4 linked regions of the Saccharomyces cerevisiae S288C genome follow. Changing the gene in region 1 together with any one later gene gives a genetic interaction. Each region holds a gene or a part of one and is shown in the gene's direction. Other genes may lie near its edges. The genes, in order: YLR464W, YHK8, PRM2 and YLR012C.

Region 1 (5,595 bases):
GGTGGATGGTAATAAAGCTAATAGAGTATGTCCAATAAACAATAATGAAATTGGAAGCGCATGACTTCTCAGCACTTTGTCTTTCCATAAAAATGAGTCGCTGCTTCTTTTTTCATTTTTTGGCGCGTCGCGTCGGGCCGTATAGAATATGCGTCACTTCTAAGAACAAGATTGCAGATCAGGGCAGTGCGAGTTACGGAGTCATGGTATCAAACTCTCATTTAGAGACCCTCATTTTTTGACACTGAAAATATCAAAATTTCTGGGTTGCGATAGTTTTTGTGTAACCGTAACCAGAAATAAAGCTGAAGGGTTAGTGTTCTATCAACAATAAGATAGAGGGTGGTAAGATGAAGTGAGACAATATCGTAACGTCCGTTTCAGTATACGCCGCTGATAAGTTATATTACCGTAAAATTATTTGACATTTCGTTATAGATCCTATTAAATAACGTACCTATCACAGTATCGTCTTGTTCAGATATAGTCTCTTCGTATGAGTAGTGTCACATACAAGATTAAAGATGCATCAGTTATGCTTTTAGGATATTGCGGATAGCATATGGGAATGGAAATAGGATACAATTTTATCATAGCACCCGCATGAGTGTCAACACAGTACCATATTATAGCACAGTGAATGGAGAGTGTTACGACAGTGAGGTAGCATATTATTCTAATGTATGGTCTGCATAAGTACGAAATATTCTGAAATGGCATCCGTTCAAGCAAACTGCAATATTAAGGAACTTTTACGTTAATGACGTCATGGTAGTGTTCATACTCCAAGTCAATATGTTTTTGTATTATTGTTGAAGAATAGAATATTTTTATGTTTAGGTGATTTTAGTGGTGATTTTTCTGTAATATTGGCATAAGTGTATTTAAATTGAGTGGTTAGTATATGGTGCAAAAGTAATATAACGTATGTATTAAGAGCATTTTTACAATATTCGAGGCCACTGAATGAGATATAGATATTAAAATGTGGATAATCATGGGATTTATGGGTAAATGGCACAGAGTATAGACCGCTGAGGCAAGTGCCGTGCATAATGATGTGAGTGCATTTGGCACTGATTTAGTGAGAGATGGGCCATGGAGTGGAGTGGAATATGAGAGTAGGGTAAGTTGAGATGGTATATACTGTAGTATCCGTGTGCGTATGACATATCAGTATACAAGTGAAGGTGAGTGTGGCAAGTGGTGGTGATGGTATAGAGTGATAGGGTAAGTATATGTGTATTGTTTACGATCATTTGTTAACGTTTCAATATGGTGGGTAGAACAACAGTATGGTGAGTAGTAGATGGGAGATGGTAGAGGAATGGCAGGGTAAGTGGTGGCGGAGTTGGATATGGGTAATTGGAGGGTAACGGTTATGGTGGACGGTGGGTTGGTGGTAGGAAGTAGAGAGGTGGATGGTAGTTGGGAGTGGTATAGTTGAATGAGACAGGGTAACGAGTGGGGAGTAGGGTAATGGAGGGTAAGTTGAGAGACAGGTTGATCAGGGTTAGAGTAGGGTAGTGTTAGGGTTAGGTGTGTGTGTGTGTGTGGGTGTGGTGTGTGGGTGTGTGGGTGTGGTGTGGTGTGTGTGTGTGTGGTGTGTGGGTGTGGTGGGTGTGGTGTGGGTGTGGGTGTGGGTGTGGGTGTGGGTGTGGTGTGTATATCTATGTCACCTTATTGCATGCTGGATGGTGTTAGACAAGGCCGTAGGGACATATAGCATCTAGGAAGTAACCTTGTACGAAAATAGGCAATATTTCCTGTTTGACGCAGATTTTAGCCCAAAGATCTAGCGTCAAGGAATTTTTTTATAGTGGGACATTGCAAACCAAGGAAGTAACTTGATACGTCGTTGGTGAATGGGTCTGTTTTCTTATTCGGCGGGGTAATACATTTTTGGGGGAAGTTTGTCTGTCTGACGCGCCATATGTAGGTACGCCAAAAAGGGCTCCTCTACTTCGAAGCGCGAGGTCGTATACCTAATAAGGAAATGTAATTTATAACTTTTTATTATATTGGTCTTTTCGAGAGCGGAACGTAGGTCCATGTTTAAAGTATCCAAGAGAATATCCACGAAGCGGCTGAGCAACGAACAGAATCCTGGTTCTCCTCGACTAAGCAGATAGTTAAGATACTGTGCACCATGGAAATTGAAAACGAAAGTACGTACCGACTACTTTATTTTTGCAGGCCGGAAATCAAGCGATGAATGAGACATCCTTCTGTTTTCTATGTTGTGCTTGAAGGGGACAGACAGTCGCTTATCTTAGTGAGATTTTGTTTGCTTTTGCTGCACCTGCATAGCGCAGATTCTGCATCTTCTCAATAGCTTAATTATTACATTCTTAGATGATGATAAGACGAAAACTGGACAATCTTTTGTTTATATTGATGGATTTCTTGTCAAAAAGCATAAAAATCAACATACTATTGTTAATTTCGAAACTTACAAAAATAAAATGAAAGTTTCCGATAGGCGTAAGTTTGAAAAAGCAAACTTTGACGAGTTTGAGTCGGCTCTAAATAACAAAAACGACTTGGTACATTGTCCCTCAATAACTTTATTTGAATCGATCCCCACGGAAGTGCGGTCATTCTACGAAGACGAAAAGTCTGGCCTAATCAAAGTGGTAAAATTCAGAACTGGTGCAATGGATAGGAAAAGGTCTTTTGAAAAAGTTGTCATTTCCGTCATGGTCGGGAAAAATGTAAAAAAGTTCCTGACGTTTGTTGAAGACGAACCAGATTTCCAGGGCGGACCAATCCCTTCAAAGTATCTTGTTCCCAAGAAAATCAACTTGATGGTCTACACGTTGTTTCAAGTGCATACTTTGAAATTCAATAGAAAGGATTACGATACCCTTTCTCTTTTTTACCTCAACAGAGGATACTATAATGAGTTGAGTTTCCGTGTCCTGGAACGTTGTCACGAAATAGCGAGTGCTAGGCCGAACGACAGCTCTACGATGCGTACTTTCACTGACTTTGTTTCCGGCGCACCTATTGTAAGGAGTCTTCAGAAAAGCACCATAAGGAAATATGGGTACAATTTGGCAGCCTACACGTAGATGAGCTATGCAAGCAAGTTTACCTGGCGAAAAGAAAGTCGACACAGAGCGGCTGAAGCGTGATCTATGCCCACGTAAACCCATTGAGATAAAGTACTTTTCACAGATATGTAACGATATGATGAACAAAAAGGACCGATTGGGTGATATTTTGCATATTATCTTGCGAGCATGTGCACTCAATTTCGGGGCGGGTCCCCGTGGTGGCGCTGGTGACGAAGAGGATCGATCTATTACGAATGAAGAACCCATTATTCCCTCTGTGGACGAGCATGGCCTGAAAGTATGTAAGTTGCGCAGTCCTAACACTCCACGAAGACTCAGAAAAACACTAGATGCCGTGAAAGCTTTATTGGTGTCGTCTTGTGCTTGTACCGCAAGGGATTTAGATATATTTGATGACAACAACGGCGTTGCAATGTGGAAATGGATCAAAATTCTGTACCACGAAGTAGCGCAGGAAACCACGCTGAAGGACTCTTATAGAATAACTTTGGTACCTTCTTCTGATGGTATATCAGTATGTGGAAAACTTTGGGGAGAGTTGAACAACTGCTTCCATATGCCAGCCTCATTTTGCGTAATCGAGAAGTTTTGTTCAGAGAACCGAAGCGAGGAATTGACGAGTATCTGGAAAACGATTCTTTTTTTCAAATGATACCTGTTAAATATCGTGAAATTGTGCTGCCCAAGTTGAGAAGAGATACTAACAAAATGACCGCGGCTCTTAAAAATAAAGTCGCTGTTGCAATTGACGAGCTTACGGTGCCACTTATGTGGATGATCCATTTTGCCGTAGGATACCCTTACCGTTATCCAGAGCTTCAGCTACTCGCTTTTGCCGGTCCTCAGCGCAACGTATACGTCGATGATACAACAAGACGCATCCAACTGTACACTGATTACAACAAGAACGGTTCATCGGAGCCTCGACTAAAGACGCTTGACGGACTCACTTCAGATTACGTGTTTTATTTTGTCACTGTGCTAAGGCAAATGCAAATATGTGCGCTTGGTAACAGTTATGACGCTTTTAATCATGATCCTTGGATGGATGTGGTGGGATTTGAGGATCCAGATCAAGTAACAAATCGAGACATTTCGAGGATAGTTTTGTATTCCTACATGTTTCTGAATACCGCGAAGGGCTGTCTGGTTGAATACGCAACTTTTCGGCAGTACATGAGGGAACTTCCGAAGAATGCACCTCAGAAGCTGAATTTTCGGGAGATGCGTCAGGGGTTGATTGCCCTAGGACGGCACTGCGTAGGTAGCAGATTTGAAACAGATTTGTACGAGTCGGCGACGAGTGAACTCATGGCCAATCATTCCGTTCAAACAGGGCGAAATATTTACGGTGTGGATTCCTTTTCGTTAACTAGTGTCAGTGGGACGACCGCCACTTTATTGCAGGAACGAGCTTCCGAGCGCTGGATTCAATGGTTAGGCCTTGAAAGCGACTACCATTGTTCATTCTCTAGTACTCGGAATGCGGAAGACGTAGTGGCAGGTGAGGCGGCGAGTTCAGATCATCATCAAAAAATTTCAAGAGTAACGCGAAAAAGGCCCCGAGAGCCCAAGAGTACAAACGATATCCTCGTCGCAGGCCGGAAACTCTTTGGCAGCTCCTTTGAATTCAGGGACTTGCATCAGTTGCGCTTATGTCATGAAATATACATGGCAGACACACCCTCTGTGGCAGTACAGGCCCCACCGGGCTATGGTAAGACGGAGTTATTTCATCTCCCCTTGATAGCACTGGCGTCTAAGGGCGACGTGAAATATGTGTCGTTTCTGTTTGTACCGTACACAGTGTTGCTTGCTAATTGCATGATCAGGTTGAGCCGATGCGGTTGCTTGAATGTGGCCCCTGTAAGAAACTTTATTGAAGAAGGTTGCGATGGCGTTACTGATTTATACGTGGGGATCTACGATGATCTTGCTAGCACTAATTTCACAGACAGGATAGCTGCGTGGGAGAATATTGTTGAGTGCACCTTTAGGACCAACAACGTAAAATTGGGTTACCTCATTGTAGATGAGTTTCACAACTTTGAAACGGAGGTCTACCGGCAGTCGCAATTTGGGGGCATAACTAACCTTGATTTTGACGCTTTTGAGAAAGCAATCTTTTTGAGCGGCACAGCACCTGAGGCTGTAGCTGATGCTGCGTTGCAGCGTATTGGGCTTACGGGACTGGCCAAGAAGTCGATGGACATCAACGAGCTCAAACGGTCGGAAGATCTCAGCAGAGGTCTATCCAGCTATCCAACACGGATGTTTAATCTAATCAAGGAGAAATCCGAGGTGCCTTTAGGGCATGTTCATAAAATTTGGAAGAAAGTGGAATCACAGCCCGAAGAAGCACTGAAGCTTCTTTTAGCCCTCTTTGAAATTGAACCAGAGTCGAAGGCCATTGTAGTTGCAAGCACAACCAACGAAGTGGAAGAATTGGCCTGCTCTTGGAGAAAGTATTTTAGGGTGGTATGGATACACGGGAAGCTGGGTGCTGCAGAAAAGG
Region 2 (6,083 bases), on another chromosome or scaffold:
GTCGGTTATGCTTGCCTATATAAAGATATATTTGCCTTACATTTTCGTTGAACGTAGAATGATTTTTGCTTTTAATAAATTTTTTGTTGTTCTTTCAGTGCTTCTTCAACTTTGATACGAAAGCAAGTGCATTAGTACAACAAGAACTGGCCACAACTATACTATACTCATTTTTTCTTGCCCGTGTTTTAAATGTTTTCATCCACAGCATTTGATGGGATGATTGGAAGTGAGACGTTCGAGAAAATCCATATTTTGAGTCAAGAATTCAGATAATATACTGAGATGATTAGGTATGGCTGGGTTCTACAAAAACACAAATATCCGGCTAGCAATGATCACTGAGCAAATTAAAGCGTTAACTCACTCATTATTGTAGCTTATGCGTTTCTCCTCCTCTCTTTTTTTCCTCGAACCGGAGTGGAAGATCCAATAACGTAATATTACTGATGTTGTTATTAAAGCTGGCAAAAATAACATGAGGCGTAAAACCGCACTGCGGTAAGATGAGGGTATAAGGTGGAGATCAGGCGAACAAGCTGTTCTAAATCATACATATGTACAATGAGAACGTGTAACGATCCAATGAGCGTTTCATGATGCCATTGTTTAATCAGAGTGATGAAAAAGAAATATTTGCGACCTTTTTTCGTTACATTGATCGTGAAATTTTAATCAAAGATAATATAAGGACGTGAGATATTTATCTTTTTACTTGAAATTAACAATAGAATTGCGCTAAGCGGAATAAGAGCTTTCGTAAACCTTTCTATTTGCACCATTGCGTCAACGTATAAAATGGTATGACCTTTACACAAACGCATGCTTATAATCTTATGTTTTTCATAGGGTGTAATTTGGTTGATGACGTAGTCTAAATTTGATGCTATCTGCAATTGAGGTACATATAAGAGGTCAATTTCGGGACCAACCCTTTTAATCGAAAAAAACGTAATTCACTAGGGCAAGGGAGAACTTAGCAGCTAATATCGTAAACCTTTCATACTAAAAAAATGCACTTACCATCAACAAAAAACTCAGGACCAATTTCCAAGCTTTTCTAGGTGATTGCCTATAACACAAAAAGATTCGCTCATACATGAGATTTTTACATGTAATAGCAATTTGTTCCGATCAGTTGAAGGTCATCAACGCACGGCAGGTACATCCACACCTATCACAAAGCCCTTCAATAATTCACCTACGTAAAGTTATACCGAAACATGCAAAATCCATGAAAAATTCTGTATGATAACGATCATATCCTTTTGTATTGGTGGTACGATGCTCAAAGATAGTTATTGTTGCACCTGAGGCAAAAGCGGAAATGAAAAATCCAGATGGGGCCAAAAGCAGAAGTATTGTGTACAACAATTGCTTCAGCAGTTTACCAAACCGTTTCCCAGCAATCATCAAAAGTTGCTTTAGCCACATTTCCGCAAGATATCTTTGTGGCTCAACGAAGAGGGCTATTCCAAATGCAATACAATACTAGCCGCTAGTGATCCATGCTTATAGGCAATTTGATTGATAACTGGCCGTTCTATTAAGGAGTCAATGCTAACCACATATAATGCATATAGGATTTGGCCTCTGCTGACCGTAATACTAGACAAGGAATATAAAACAACAACGTAACCCAGCATAAAAACGATATAAATAAAAAAAGAAACCAGATCATAAAGTTTGAGGGCACATCCCTCATGGTTTCAAAATCTCGTACATTGACTCAAACCTCGAGATCTTGTTTAAACGAACATAAGAACAGCGGTACCAAGTGACACATTGCGTACTGTGTAGTATGCGCCGTATATAACTTTTTTTTTCTGAAGGTACTTTGAATTACAATCTATTTTTTACAGTTCCTATGGCAGGGGTTGAAGATATTTGGGTCTGAACCATAGCAGGATTAGTGTTATAGTAGGTATGTGAATAGAAGCTAACAAAATGAGATGAACCTCATACAAAGTCGTAGAGAAAACTGCTAACAGAAGAGCTGCGCCTTGAAATCGTATCTCTAAGCTTATAATAAATTGAAAGGAAAAAATACGTGGTAAATGCAAGCGACCAAAAGGCTACGGCCCAACGCTAACCCGCCGATAGGTGCATAATCTAATTTACCTCCACCAGCAGGAGCCCTTTTTCTAAGTAATAAGCAAACCAGATAACTTACATCTTGCTGTAGGAAACAAAAGCCGGAATAATGGTTCACTCATATTCTTCGTGTGAAACACAGAAGAAATCCAATATTTGCTTCAGTATTTATCTCTAAAAATTGGTCCTACATTGGAAACCATAAACCAATTATAACCGGTGTACGAATTGTAAGCTAGTTCTGGAAATGTCATGTTGCGCAGGTAAAAGTGGAGCTGAATTGTATATCTGTTTTGATCATTATTATCCCTCTGGGTGAGTGGAAATATCAATAAAATGCAATGGCACATTTAATATCCTTCTCTTAATTCCGTGATTTATAACATCTTGATGCCAGAAACACCTTTCGGATCCGGCAATAAAGCGGAGATTAGCACGCTTTTCGCCGGTCCTACGGATTTAGTGTTGGCTATTGTTGAGATTAGTAATACGCAGAGAATTTTTCTACCGGTGAAGCGACCATCTCAGATTATTAGGTCAAGCAATAACACTTGTTATTAGATGCGTTACGTTCACCTGGACCCTATATAAAGGCATATTTGCCTTACATTTGGTGTATGGTATCACCTTGTATACTAAGAACATATATATGCAGATATAACAACAGGATATGGTTGCAGAATTTCAAATAGCGAGTGCACAGTCATCGGCATTGACATCTACTGAAGAAGAGCATTGTTCAATAAACTCAGACAAAGCCGCAAAACTGGATCTGGAATTGACCAGTGAACGAAAAAATGACGGCAAACAATCGCATGAAGTGACCTTCAACGAGGACATCGCGGACCCAGAAGATATAGCACGGCATATGAGCACCGCCCGCCGGTATTATATTTCCTCGTTAATTACATTCACATCGATGGTAATTACGATGATCTCGTCCAGCTGGACGCTTCCTTCAACGCACATAATCGAACACTTTCATATTTCGCACGAAGTCAGCACTCTGGGAATTACGCTTTATGTGTTTGGGCTCGGTATAGGACCTTTATTTCTGTCTCCACTAAGTGAACTATATGGACGAAGGATCACATTTTTATACGCCCTTACGCTCAGTATCATATGGCAGTGTTTGACCATTTGGTCCAAGACCATTACGGGTGTCATGTTTGGCAGATTTCTATCCGGGTTTTTTGGTTCAGCCTTTCTAAGTGTGGCTGGCGGCGCCATTGCCGATATATTCGACAAAGACCAAATTGGTATTCCTATGGCAATATACACTACATCGGCCTTTTTGGGGCCCTCTTTAGGACCAATCATTGGTGGAGCCTTATACCATCAAAGTTATAAATGGACATTTATCACACTTCTCATCACTTCTGGATGTTGTCTCGTTATGATCATCTTTACCATACCTGAAACCTACAAACCAATGCTGTTAATACGTAAAGCTAAGAGATTGAGGAAAGAGAAAAATGATCAACGGTATTATGCTGTCCTGGAAGTCACCCGCGAACAGACTTCCTTACTTTCCGCAATCTTTCTCTCAACCAAAAGACCCTTTGGCCTGTTACTTCGAGACCGAATGATGGGTGTGCTTTGCTTCTATACTGGATTGGAACTTGCCATAATATATTTATATTTCGTAGCGTTTCCTTATGTGTTCAAGAAACTTTACAACTTTGGGCCCATGGAGATTGCATGCTCCTATATCGGTATTATGGTCGGCATGATACTCTCGGCTCCTACTTGCTTGTTATTCCAAAAAACGTTTGAGTGGAGAGTCAAAAGAAATAATGGCGTCAAGACTCCCGAAATGAGATTCGAGCCTCTGTTCTACGGCGCCTTTTTGACCCCAGTTGGGCTCTTCATTTTTGCATTCACCTGCTACAAGCATGTCCATTGGATTGCACCAATTATAGGCAGTGCAATTTTCGGTTCAGGTGTTTATTTCGTCTTTACCGGTGTTTTTGCGTATACAGTGGATGCCTATAGAAGATATGCAGCTTCTGGAATGGCTTGTAACACATTTGTGAGATGCATAATGGCCGGTGTCTTCCCTCTTTTCGGACTCCAGATGTACAAGTCAATGGGAGTGAATTGGGCCGGCTTTCTCTTGGCAATGGTGACCGTAGCGATGATTCCTGTCCCATTTCTGTTTACCAAATACGGTGCCCGACTGAGAGCCAAGTCGCCGTATGCATGGGATGATTGATTTTTTTGCATATTTTTTCCTTTGGATGTTGCATAATCTTTTCCCGCTTACGTCATTGGTGATAGATTGTTTCGGATCTTCAAAAGGCAACACGCATAGGCCAAAGAAAAAAGAAATTTTGCATTTTTTCATTTTTGCATATTCTCGCATGTTTTCTTTCTTTTTCTCTAGTTTTCGAATGTTTTTGGCTGCAATGTATATTGTATATAAACCATAAAGGTGCAAAATGCCAGATGTACGCGGCCAATCTTAATTTTCTAGTAAAAGTAGCAGCTAAATCTGAAACTCTCTAGCTTGTAATAAACGAAGGATGACTGTACAAATTCCAAAATTATTATTTTTACACGGCTTCTTGCAAAACGGTAAAGTTTTCTCCGAAAAATCATCTGGTATTAGAAAATTATTGAAGAAGGCTAATGTCCAATGTGACTATATTGATGCACCAGTCCTTTTAGAAAAGAAGGACTTGCCATTTGAAATGGATGATGAAAAATGGCAAGCCACCCTAGATGCGGATGTTAACAGAGCCTGGTTCTATCACAGCGAAATCTCTCACGAATTGGATATCTCAGAAGGTTTGAAGTCTGTTGTTGATCACATCAAGGCCAATGGCCCATACGACGGCATTGTCGGTTTCTCTCAAGGTGCCGCATTGTCCTCTATCATCACCAACAAGATCTCAGAGTTAGTTCCAGACCATCCACAATTCAAGGTAAGTGTAGTCATTTCCGGCTATTCCTTCACCGAGCCAGACCCAGAACATCCTGGAGAATTGAGAATAACCGAAAAATTCAGAGACTCATTTGCGGTAAAACCAGACATGAAGACCAAGATGATCTTCATCTATGGTGCTTCTGACCAAGCCGTCCCATCCGTCAGATCCAAGTACCTGTACGATATTTATTTGAAGGCGCAAAATGGTAATAAGGAAAAGGTGTTGGCTTACGAACACCCTGGTGGACATATGGTTCCAAACAAGAAGGACATTATCAGACCAATTGTTGAACAAATAACCTCTTCCTTACAAGAAGCTTCTGAATAAATCGTAGGTTGTTGCTTACCTGCTTTCTAGCTTTTTACTATCACACGCAGGGTGTGTGGAGTGAAATGCTGATCGAGTATGTATATATACATATAAGTACTTTGTATAGAATGAACCACAAGTTTGTAGCATCCTTTCTCTTCTCTTCCATCCTGCGTGCTGCTAACCCCGCCCGGCGCGAAAAATCCACCCGGGGTGCTTTAGCGTGGCTTACGAAGACCTTTTTAAACATACTTATACTCTTTCTCGAAGGAAGAAAATAATGCAGAAGAGAAACAGCAGAAAAAAAAGAAATCATATTAAATTTCAGAATCAGTCTCCTTTTGCTTCTAGTCATTTAACCATCAAACGCGTTTAACCGTTTAGAAAACCCTCTTCAACAACTATTTGTTTTGATACTAATATTAGCACATCTCTATTGCCATTTAACCACTAATTTTCCGTATAGCGTTTATGTTTGATGACGTCCCAAGAATATGAACCTATTCAATGGAGCGATGAATCCCAAACAAATAATGATAGTGTCAACGATGCGTATGCCGACGTGAATACCACTCATGAGTCGCGTCGAAGAACAACTTTGCAGCCAAACTCAACATCCCAGAGCATGATCGGAACATTGAGAAAATATGCTAGGTTCATCGGTCCTGGTTTGATGGTATCTGTATCGTACATGGATCCTGGTAACTATAGTACAGCTGTAGCAGCGGGTTCTGCTCATCGGTACAAGCT
Region 3 (4,700 bases), on another chromosome or scaffold:
CTTTAATGAATCCACAGTCATGCTTTCATTTTTGTTGCTACTATTAGTGCCATTAACATTATTATCTGAGTCTTTATTTAGTTTTTCATGTTCACGTAAATGAATTTTGGAGAATTTCTTGAATTTAGAGATTAGTTTTTCATAGTAATTTAACTTTTTCAGTAAAATTCTATTCTCGTCTTTAATTTCGTTAAATTCCTTTTGGAGCTGCAGCTGCGCAACCTTTTTCCTTTGTCTACATTTCGAAGCTGCAATTCGATTTCTTTCTAACAATCTTGCTCTCTTCCATGCCGTAGTACCAGGGATTGGATTTCCCTGTGTGTTCGCCGCTAAATTTAAATGAGATCCTTGAGATTTTGGAGTGAAGCTAGGATTAGAGTGAGATTCCCTAAGTGCAGATTTGCCCCTATTTTCACCTCCAGTAGTTGGCGCAAACGTCGTCATGCCTTCCAAATCACTTATACTCTCCGCTGGAGTATTCTTTGATGGCGCGTTTACAAAATTTCGCTGCTGACTTTTCGAGTAAATAACGCTCTGATCACCCAATGCGGAGTCCTTCGTGGGATTAATAACTTTTTTTGCATTGTATTGTGGAATACTACTAACCGGCACTGCTTGGTTGAAGACCGGCTTGTTTGATACATTCCTAGTTTGGCTCAGACCATTATAATTGTGAAAATTGGGCATCGGGGGCGGCTGTGTGTTGTGCAGGTTTTCCAAAGTTTCAATATCTTCGCCTAGCTGGCTTATTTGACCGTTAGAGATTGATATTCTTCTTCTTCTAATTGGCTCATCGCATCCAGGCAAAGAACTTTGGAAAATTGGTGGATTCGTCATAGGTAAATGTGCTACATCAACACCAAAAGGTTGAAAAAATGGCGACAATGTTTCCAGGATGGATGGATCGTTCAAGGCATGTGGGTTGTTATTCATATTCATGTTCATGAAATACATCTGCTTGTTCACAGAAGCCGTATTGGCGATGTTGGACGCATTAGTCGGGGCTGTAGTAGAATCATTCGGAGCGGACTTACGGGTAGACGACAGTTGGCTCAGATTTGTATGAGTGGCCAGATTCTGATGCATATCCTGTACGACACCAGAATTCATCAGAATATCACCGTAGAGTTGGGATTCCTCTTCAGTTTTCATAGAGGGTGACTGTTGTCGCTGATCCTGCTGTTGCTGTTGTCGAAGGTATGCAGCCTGCTGATAGTTTGAATTGGCGCTGGGTTTAACAACCCGATCATGCGAATTGACGTTTCCAGCTGCAATAGAATATTGTGGGGTTAAAGAATTTCTATTGGAAGTAGTATAATCATGTATTTGGTCAACCACACCAGCCATATTTGTGCTATAGTTTATGTCAGTAGGATCTAAGGATCTACTTAAAGCAGAATTGTTCATAGTAGAAGTGGTGGTGGCGGCGGCAGAAGTATCACTAACAGAGTGCGGTATCTTATTATTCAAGATCTTTGATGTGTCATCAATACCACGTTTATTGTTGTCTTTTTGCTTGTTGGAATTAGAGTCTACGGAATGATACTCCTGACCAGTAAACATTATCCTACCAAAAAGGTGTGGGCTTATACTTTTTTCTTTACTACTTTAGATCTTTTTAGATCCTTTTGAATCTTCCAATTGAAAGACTGCTTTAAAAGCGAGTTTTTGATTTAGAAACACCAACAGATACGTATACACGATAACCTCTATAGCGGTTCTATTTCTGTTAACAAGAAGGTACTTGAAAGTGATAACTCAAAAAACAAGAGTACAATATGAAAATCTTTTGCCTTCATTGTCATTGTCATTGAATCCCCGATTATCATTGTCAGCAATTTCGGAGAAGGGGGCAACTATGTTCCGTGTAAGGTGATATTACTCAAATGTGTCACAATTTCAACTTCTGGGAATAATATTTATAATAGTTGAGATTATTCTTGATTATAGAGGCGACAGCTTATCTTAATTTTCGCCAATAGGTTTGGAAGAACATTGGTATTTTCATTCGGTGCAGCATTTTAATTCAGAATTATAACCGTCCTTGTACGGTTATAACAGCACATTATTGAAAAATGTTTTAAAAATGTTTCAGCCCAGTAATAAAACATTTACATATGCTATCTTGGCCCTTTATATAACATGTAAAGCAAAAAACTAGAACACTAACATGGCTTAAGTAGCTGAAAATCTACACCACTTTTCGATAAAACTAAGAGTACGGCAAAGATGAACAATGTACACATAATTAAACCTTTATCACTTCCACAGAGGTTTTTTAGTTGTATTTTCCATCCTCTATTACTGATATTCTTTACTTCTGTTATTTTAACTATTTGGGGTTCCTTTTCAGTCATTGACATTACAATGGCAAAAATGTCTCACGCACAGGTCAAACGAAATGATACCGTCTCAACCTTTGCATCTATTTCAACTGCTACAGCGACAGCCACAACAACGGCCACAACAACGGCCACAATGACAGCAGTCACAACACAGCATGCCATATATTCTGCCAACAGTTACTCTTTAAATAAAACATTCATTGATAATACAATTGATCAGTATTTCGAAAGCAAACTACGGAGTATTGAATCTACGGTAGGTACGGATATGCAAGAAAAATTCAAGTCATACACAGACGACATACTGGATAATAAACAAAAACTTATCAACGACCAAATAAGTTTGGAAACTGAATTGATTAAGGAAGTTCTTGAGGTAAACAATACAATTTTTAACGAACTACTCACTAAATCACAGCTGATAAATGACACATGGAATGAAATATCAGAAGACGCAATGACCATTGATAAGGATTCCATTTCACAAATGGCATCAAACCTACTGTTAAATTACTCCATGTTTGACAGTATTTTTGGGAACTACTCAAGGAAATTGAAATCATTGCAGAACTTCAATGGCACTATCACTGACTTTTCTACTCAATTAGATACCTCTAGTACCTTAAGTTTGAATTTTCTACGAAATTCCACTGACTGGCTTCAGTTGAAAAGGAACTTTACTGCAAACTTACAGAATGAAATTTCCATTTTATCTGGGGGGAGTACCGAGGTTACATCGTCTACTTCAATAATTAAACGGTCTCTGAAAACAAATAGCGAGGAAAACAGTGTACTAAGTGCAGTAAAAAATCACGTTTTCCGTAAATGTAAGAGAATGACAATAATTTTCACAGTCATGTACTTTGCATTTGTGATTTTGCTCATGGCAATCGAAAGAATTCTGTTTCAGCTGGAAAATCAGCAAGTAAACCTGGTTATGTCCCAAATTAATGGCCTGACAGGACAAACCAATTTTACTAAATACAACAAAGTTTTGAAAAGCTTAATTACTACTCTGAATCTCAGTACACTTTATCCAATTCCCTACCAATTAACAAAGCTTATCAATCAAAAAATATTTAAAAGAGAACCAGAAAAAATCGATGACAAAAAAGTCAAAAAATCAAAACTATTTTACTGTAACTGGTGGATAATCTCAAATGGGGCTCACCTGTGGCTGTTTGGTTTTTTGATGTTATTAATTCATTGGCAGATAGTGACGCGATTAACAAACTTTGAAGTACCCAGTTTGCCTACATTCCACAAAAGAGCGGGACCTTCGCTATACAAAAGGGAAGTTTGGACAGATGGAAATATAACAACTACGATAGAGGGTTTCATTAATGACAGCGTATCATTATTGTGTGAAAATTTCCAAATGGAAGTGAATGAAAAGTTCATTACAGCAAATTTAAGCCTTCAAACTGACCCCAATTTGAAAGTGCAATCAACGGACATCCTAAATCTTTGGGTTAACGACACAAACACTCAGTTTGAAAAATATCTTAATGAGAGTTCTCAAAATTGGCAGGGGATAGACCTGCAGGTTGAGCCTCTGTTAGGCAGCGATTCAATTAATGAGTTCCTGGGTCAGTATTTCCTACCGACATACGAAGTTACGAATACAAATTCTTCATTTGCACTGGACATTCAAAAATATGGTATAATTAATCGAGGAATTAATATAACCAACGCATCGGTAGCGGCATTGTCTTCACTGTCAAAACGCCAAATAAAGGATAAGGAGCAAAAACAAACGTACTTTTTACACACTGTTTATAAGTGGGGACTTTTAGCAGTTTGCCTGACTATATTGTTCCACCACATGCTTATATTTATAATATTAAAGTTGTAAGTATCGTATTATCGTCACCTTCCACGAGCGGTCTCGCAATTTTCGCTGAGTGAAAAACTTGTGAAAGATACCTTGATTTTATGTAATAGTAGCTTAATTCACTTTCATCTGTGCGTAATCTCTAAAACCTACTGACCTACAGATCAATAAACTGACTAAGGCGCTTGTAAAGTTATTAATAACTTTGCTTCTACATTTTTTAAAGCATTTTGTTGATATTTCGAACTTTCTTTTGTTCATCTCCTTTTGGTTTGACTTTAACGAGAAGTCTCATTGTGTCAAGACAAAAAATCAAAAGCTATTATCTACAGCACATTTATTTATTCATTTTCAAATTTAGATTTTTGAAGATTCATTGTATGTTTAGTCGATCGACATGGCTCATAGAAAATTACAGCAGGAGGTCGATAGGGTCTTTAAAAAAATTAACGAAGGTTTAGAAATCTTCAATAGCTATTACGAAAGACATGAATCATGCACAAACAATCCTTCCCAAAAGG
Region 4 (5,070 bases), 900 kb from region 1:
ACTCAGACTTACCAAGCCCAAATCCGTCTTCAAAAGTTATCGCATTGGCCATGTATAAAATCAGAAGAATCCAAGCTAGTATAGTGAGAATACTCTACGCGCCCGGTGCAGAATTGCCGAGGAGGTTTATGGATCTCGAGAGCTGGCGGATTGAAACCTACAATGAGCTTGAGCGTTGGTTCCAAGTGGACGTTCCCAAAAACTTTGAGATGATGAATTGCAAATTTAACAGCATCTGGTTTGATCTGAACTATCATTACTCGAAGAGCATTCTTTATGGACTTTCTCCAAAATTCCCTACTTTGAATGATACCGCTTTTAAAATTGTCCTGGACAGTACGAAGGGCACCATAGACGTATTTTACAATCTTTGTGTCAATAAAAAAATTGGTTACACGTGGGTAGCAGTTCATAACATGTTCATGACAGGTATGACTTACCTTTACGTAAATTTTTACTCAAAAAACAACATAAATGATTGTCAAGAAAAAGTGTCAGAGTACACTGAAAAAGTGTTGATAGTACTGAAGAATCTGATAGGTTTTTGCGAATCTGCGAAAACCTGTTACACGAGTTACAAAATTTTATCATCAGTTGTAATAAAGTTAAAATTTATGCAAATAAATGATGCCAAAGGGATATTTTCGGATTCAAATCCCCTAACCTCTCAGGCAAACCGCATGTCAAGTTATGATAAAAAAACGAACGTACTTGGTTTTGACGACGGTACTTTTGATAACAAGGTTTTTAATAGAACCAATTTTGAAGAAAAAGCACCTTTTGATATACCTCTAGATGAATTTTTTACCGAACTGGAAAAACACAGCAATGTTTCCCAGTTTAATACTTTAGATGTAAGCGAAGGTAATCAAGTGATAAATGAAAGTGCTTCTACAAATACGTCTTCTGCATTGAATTGCCAGTCGTATACCAATAATCAAGATATCATGGATATCCTTTTCCAGGTTACTTCGGGATCTGTATGGGATGAGTTTTTTGTCAGGTCTGGTAACGGAAACGAAGGCGAGTCTTCTTACGATATCAGTAAAGGAAAGAACTCTGAATCCGGTGGAATATTTTAGCGATAGCTCGAAGAATCATGATCAATGGATTGAAAGTAGGGCCACCAATGCTCTTTTCAATCTATTTTTTGAAAACATGAGAGTCCTAAAAGAGCTAACTTAAATGACCGGGGCAGATTAATTGAAAAGTTTGAGGTTTTTGTGATAATCTTCAAAGTTGAACGCATGTATAAAATGATAGAAGCAACAGTCCATTGAGAAGTATGCCACTATAGTCATATATATATATATATATATATATATATATATTTACGTATTAATTGATAAACTATAATACCAACGGCACTTGATACTTGAATTCATCTTACATTTCCAGTGATGATTTTTTTTTCTGGGACTACGCTGATAAAGAAAAATTGCAAGAACTGAGAAACCACTTGTTTTGTATGGCACTTTGACTTTCGAATAACACATAATGTTCGTTATCAACTGTTTAAAGTCGATAAATGTATAATCACTGCTTTGACATAAGTATATAACATTCCGAGCAGAAATAAATTCTCTTAACGCGTTCTTGTAACTCCATAGAGGCTCTTTGGAACTTTTCGTTTGACGCTCACACCTTTTATTTCGTTAAAGTACCGTTTTGCCAGATCCTTGCCAAAAACCAAAAATATTTTTCTATAAAATAATCCACAGGCATTACACAATGTCACCTCTCCATCAGGACCCTCTCTCCATTGCGGAGAAGTTTTTATCACCGCACACTGTGGACATCTCCTGGTGACGCCTTTCCTCTTTTGGACATTGTGCTGAACAACAGCAGTATTATTCGTTGTGACATACAAAGATGCACTAATGGGTTTAGCAGTATTGATTTTTGTTTGAGAGTGAGGTTTTTCGCAGTCTATTGTCTCCTCTACCGGATTCAATAACGATTCAACGGAGATTCTTTTATATTCTGGATGACACAAAGTCTTAATGTTCATAGCAAATTCTTCCTTCTGGCTTTATATTTGCTTCTAGTTGATAATTGTTTACATTTAATGAAATTGTTTCAAATCAAGAAAAGGTAAGATAAGCTCCCTCAAAGAACCTCTCGTCTTATAATATACTCTTCAAACAGAGCAACAAATATTAATTAACATGCTCGACCATTTGTTCTTTTCCATCAAATTGGACCCTAGACCCTTAAAAACATAGATATGACTGAAGAGGAGGTTTTTGACCTCTAGCCTATTATTCCATTTTACAGAGAAGCCTACTTATTTTCTGTGGCAGGCGGCTAAGCAGGTAATGTTGTCCGCATTTTATCAGAAATACTTGCCAAGAAAAAAAAGGGATTTTCATATAAGGGGATTTTCTACAGGTGTTTGTGTGAGTATGTATTGCACCAAATAAGTACTGTGTTAAAGGTTTTGTTGATGCGTTTTCATCGGGGTTAATAGCGTCTAATCCTTCAAGGGAGCTGTAAGTGATACTTTCATTATGCAAACTAAAGAAAGCTGAAGTCCTGGTACGCCACCTGGCACTTCATCTGGCTTCTTTTATTTTTTTATACACAGAAAATAACTTACTTACACTTTTTTTGGAAATAAAACCATTGTCTCGGGGAACATATACATATATATATATATATATATATGTATATAATACCAACTGCAATAAAAGAAAAGAGTCATATTATAAGTATAATTTTGAATGTTCTGTGCATTTTTCACTGTCGAATAGCTTGCTTGTCATGCCAAATAATGGGTTAAATCGCTGTGTGCTGACAATGTATCAAATAATACTTCCCCTAATTGAATGTGTGGCGCTATCCGTATATCCGGACCCTTTTTCAGGGCCGGTCTTGGCATGAAAAAATGTCAGAAGCATGAGTAGAATTAAGTCGAGAACAAACTAATATGAAGGGGATGTTTAATGTAAAAACGTATAAAAAGGCCATGTTCGAGGTGGATAATAGAACAACATTCTATGAAGACGGCAGCTTCAAGACAGAAAATATTCATAGAGATTAAGAGAAAAAGTCTCGAACATATTCAAATGAAGACTGTCTATTACAAAGAAATCACCTACCAGCAGTATCTTCAACTGCAACCTGAACAACAGGAAAAATACCTGGCTTTATGTCAAAAAGATTTTGAACAAGAGACTGAAAGAATTGCATTTGATCGTCAAGGAGGTGTGCCTGGTATTGCTAGGAAATTTGCACAAGAAGAAGTTGCTTGGTTCGATCGCGTTACAACATGGTCATATATGAATGCTTATATTCCGAGCTACAGAAGAAGAAGAAACCTTTTAAAGATTGATATGTTAAAGATGTCTAATGCTGAAGAATACTGAGAATAATTTCGAGCGCCGATCCAAATATTAGGTTTGCTTTATCTTTTTTTATGAAATAAGTTCATGAAATATGAATACTATACCACTACGCATATATATATTTTAAGAAAATTTTCGAATGAAACTTGATGAAATTAGTCCATTAAAAGTGTATGGGTAATCGAAGAGCCCAAACTACCGTTAGTATAATACTTTGTACTTTGTACTCAATACTTAATACTAATTAAAGTCTGGATTACAGTGTCCTATGATAATTGTGTTAGCTTTTCATCTTTTATTGCGACTACAGTTAAATTTTATGGTTTATTTATTCCTCGTTGTTTCGATGCACGATGCGAGTAATTGCAGGATCTCTTCATTGTGCACGCTGAGTTGTGGTACAATGTCCTCGGGTAACGGTATCGTACCTACCGGTATTTTCACCGCCACTCCACCTATAACATTCATCTTCAAACCATGTAGTACCTCTTGAAGTTGGTCATTACACTTACTACCGCCATGACCGCCGTAGCTTACCACCAGGGCAGGTTTTCCGTGCCATTCATGGTAAAGACGATCAATTGCATTTTTTAAGGCTGCTGGATACCCCCAATTATATTGAGGTGTAACGAATACAATAATATCTAATGCATTTACGATGCGACTCCACGATCGAGTTTTGCTGTCTGCATACTCATCCACGCTCTTTATTTGCGCAGGGATCAGTTCGTCATCATCTTCATATAAGGGAAGAGCAATCTGTTGTAAATCTACTACTTGTATTTTCAGCTTCTGGTCTATTAATTCTTCGCTATTTTCAATTGTACGTTTTACGTATGCTGCAATTTCTGGGCATACCCTCTTTGCCCTCACAGAACCCATTATAATACCCACTTTCATGTTTAATGCGGTTGTCGACTAAGCACCTCAGCTGGTAATGGAGATGACCAAGTAACTAATTAACAATTGATAGATATACAACTTTCCCTTTTCAATAGGCATGTCAAATCTTTCGATTTTTTTTGATTTTGCACCTTCTTTGATTCATATTTACATTCGTAACCATGTGAGATGCTCAAATGTTATGATACTGACGGGTAATAAACAACGGGGGCACCACTCAAAGAAAAAAGCAGCTTATCTGTAGAATCTACACAGGGTTATGCCAAGAATGGAATTACAACAATTGCCTTGAATTCAAATCAGATACAAAAAATAGCATAAAATAGTAGGGTCAAACAACAGACCAAGACGAGACTGTAATCATCATGTTGTAATAAGAATCATGTATTAACTATCGACTAGTATTCATGTCAGTAGTATATACTGTCATATACAGTGTAACGTGGGGACATTAATTTTGATGACTTTTTTATGTCCTCACGTTACACCGCATGTGACGGTATACTGGTAACACAAATACTACTAAACAGATGGTATTTTACAGTTTCATTCCAACAAAAGCATGAAGTGTAATTAAAAAAATGCTTTCTTGGCTTGTATTCATCTAATTCATTTGATCATAGCATGTGCTCTATATTGTAATGGCCAAGCTCGGCGTTAAAGTTTTTAGTTGACATATTTATCATCTTGTGTAATATTTAACATAAAATAGGTTAAATTATTGTATCTCAAAATGAGATACGTCAGCCTGACAATACATTATCCTAAACGTTCATAAAATACATATGAAACAATCCTATAACAAAACGAACAACATGAG

The links.
Region 2: mutations in YLR464W (region 1) and YHK8 together harm fitness more than expected from each alone (negative genetic interaction), as found in Saccharomyces cerevisiae (one large-scale study listed by BioGRID).
Region 3: mutations in YLR464W (region 1) and PRM2 together harm fitness more than expected from each alone (negative genetic interaction), as found in Saccharomyces cerevisiae (one large-scale study listed by BioGRID).
Region 4: mutations in YLR464W (region 1) and YLR012C together harm fitness more than expected from each alone (negative genetic interaction), as found in Saccharomyces cerevisiae (one large-scale study listed by BioGRID).

What each region holds. Positions count from the first base shown.
Region 1 is NC_001144.5:1,063,491-1,069,085, forward strand, and holds YLR464W (uncharacterized protein), read left to right. Parts: upstream 1-3,081; coding exon 3,082-3,594; intron 3,595-3,596; coding exon of another isoform or gene 3,597-3,873; coding exon 3,874-4,011; downstream 4,012-5,595. Other genes in the region: YLR462W (uncharacterized protein), read left to right, coding at 2,466-3,074; YRF1-4 (Y' element ATP-dependent helicase protein 1 copy 4), read left to right, coding at 3,597-5,595.
Region 2 is NC_001140.6:201,843-207,925, forward strand, and holds YHK8 (Yhk8p), read left to right. Parts: upstream 1-2,764; coding exon 2,765-4,309; downstream 4,310-6,083. Other genes in the region: FSH1 (putative serine hydrolase), read left to right, coding at 4,620-5,351; divalent metal ion transporter SMF2, read left to right, coding at 5,812-6,083. UniProt on the Saccharomyces cerevisiae protein: Probable drug/proton antiporter.
Region 3 is NC_001141.2:282,529-287,228, reverse strand, and holds PRM2 (pheromone-regulated protein PRM2), read left to right. Parts: upstream 1-2,229; coding exon 2,230-4,200; downstream 4,201-4,700. Other genes in the region: CST6 (Cst6p), read right to left, coding at 1-1,563; CCR4-NOT core subunit NOT3, read left to right, coding at 4,577-4,700.
Region 4 is NC_001144.5:168,280-173,349, reverse strand, and holds YLR012C (uncharacterized protein), read left to right. Parts: upstream 1-3,068; coding exon 3,069-3,368; downstream 3,369-5,070. Other genes in the region: PPR1 (Ppr1p), read left to right, coding at 1-1,082; GAT3 (Gat3p), read right to left, coding at 1,586-2,011; LOT6 (flavin-dependent quinone reductase), read right to left, coding at 3,672-4,247.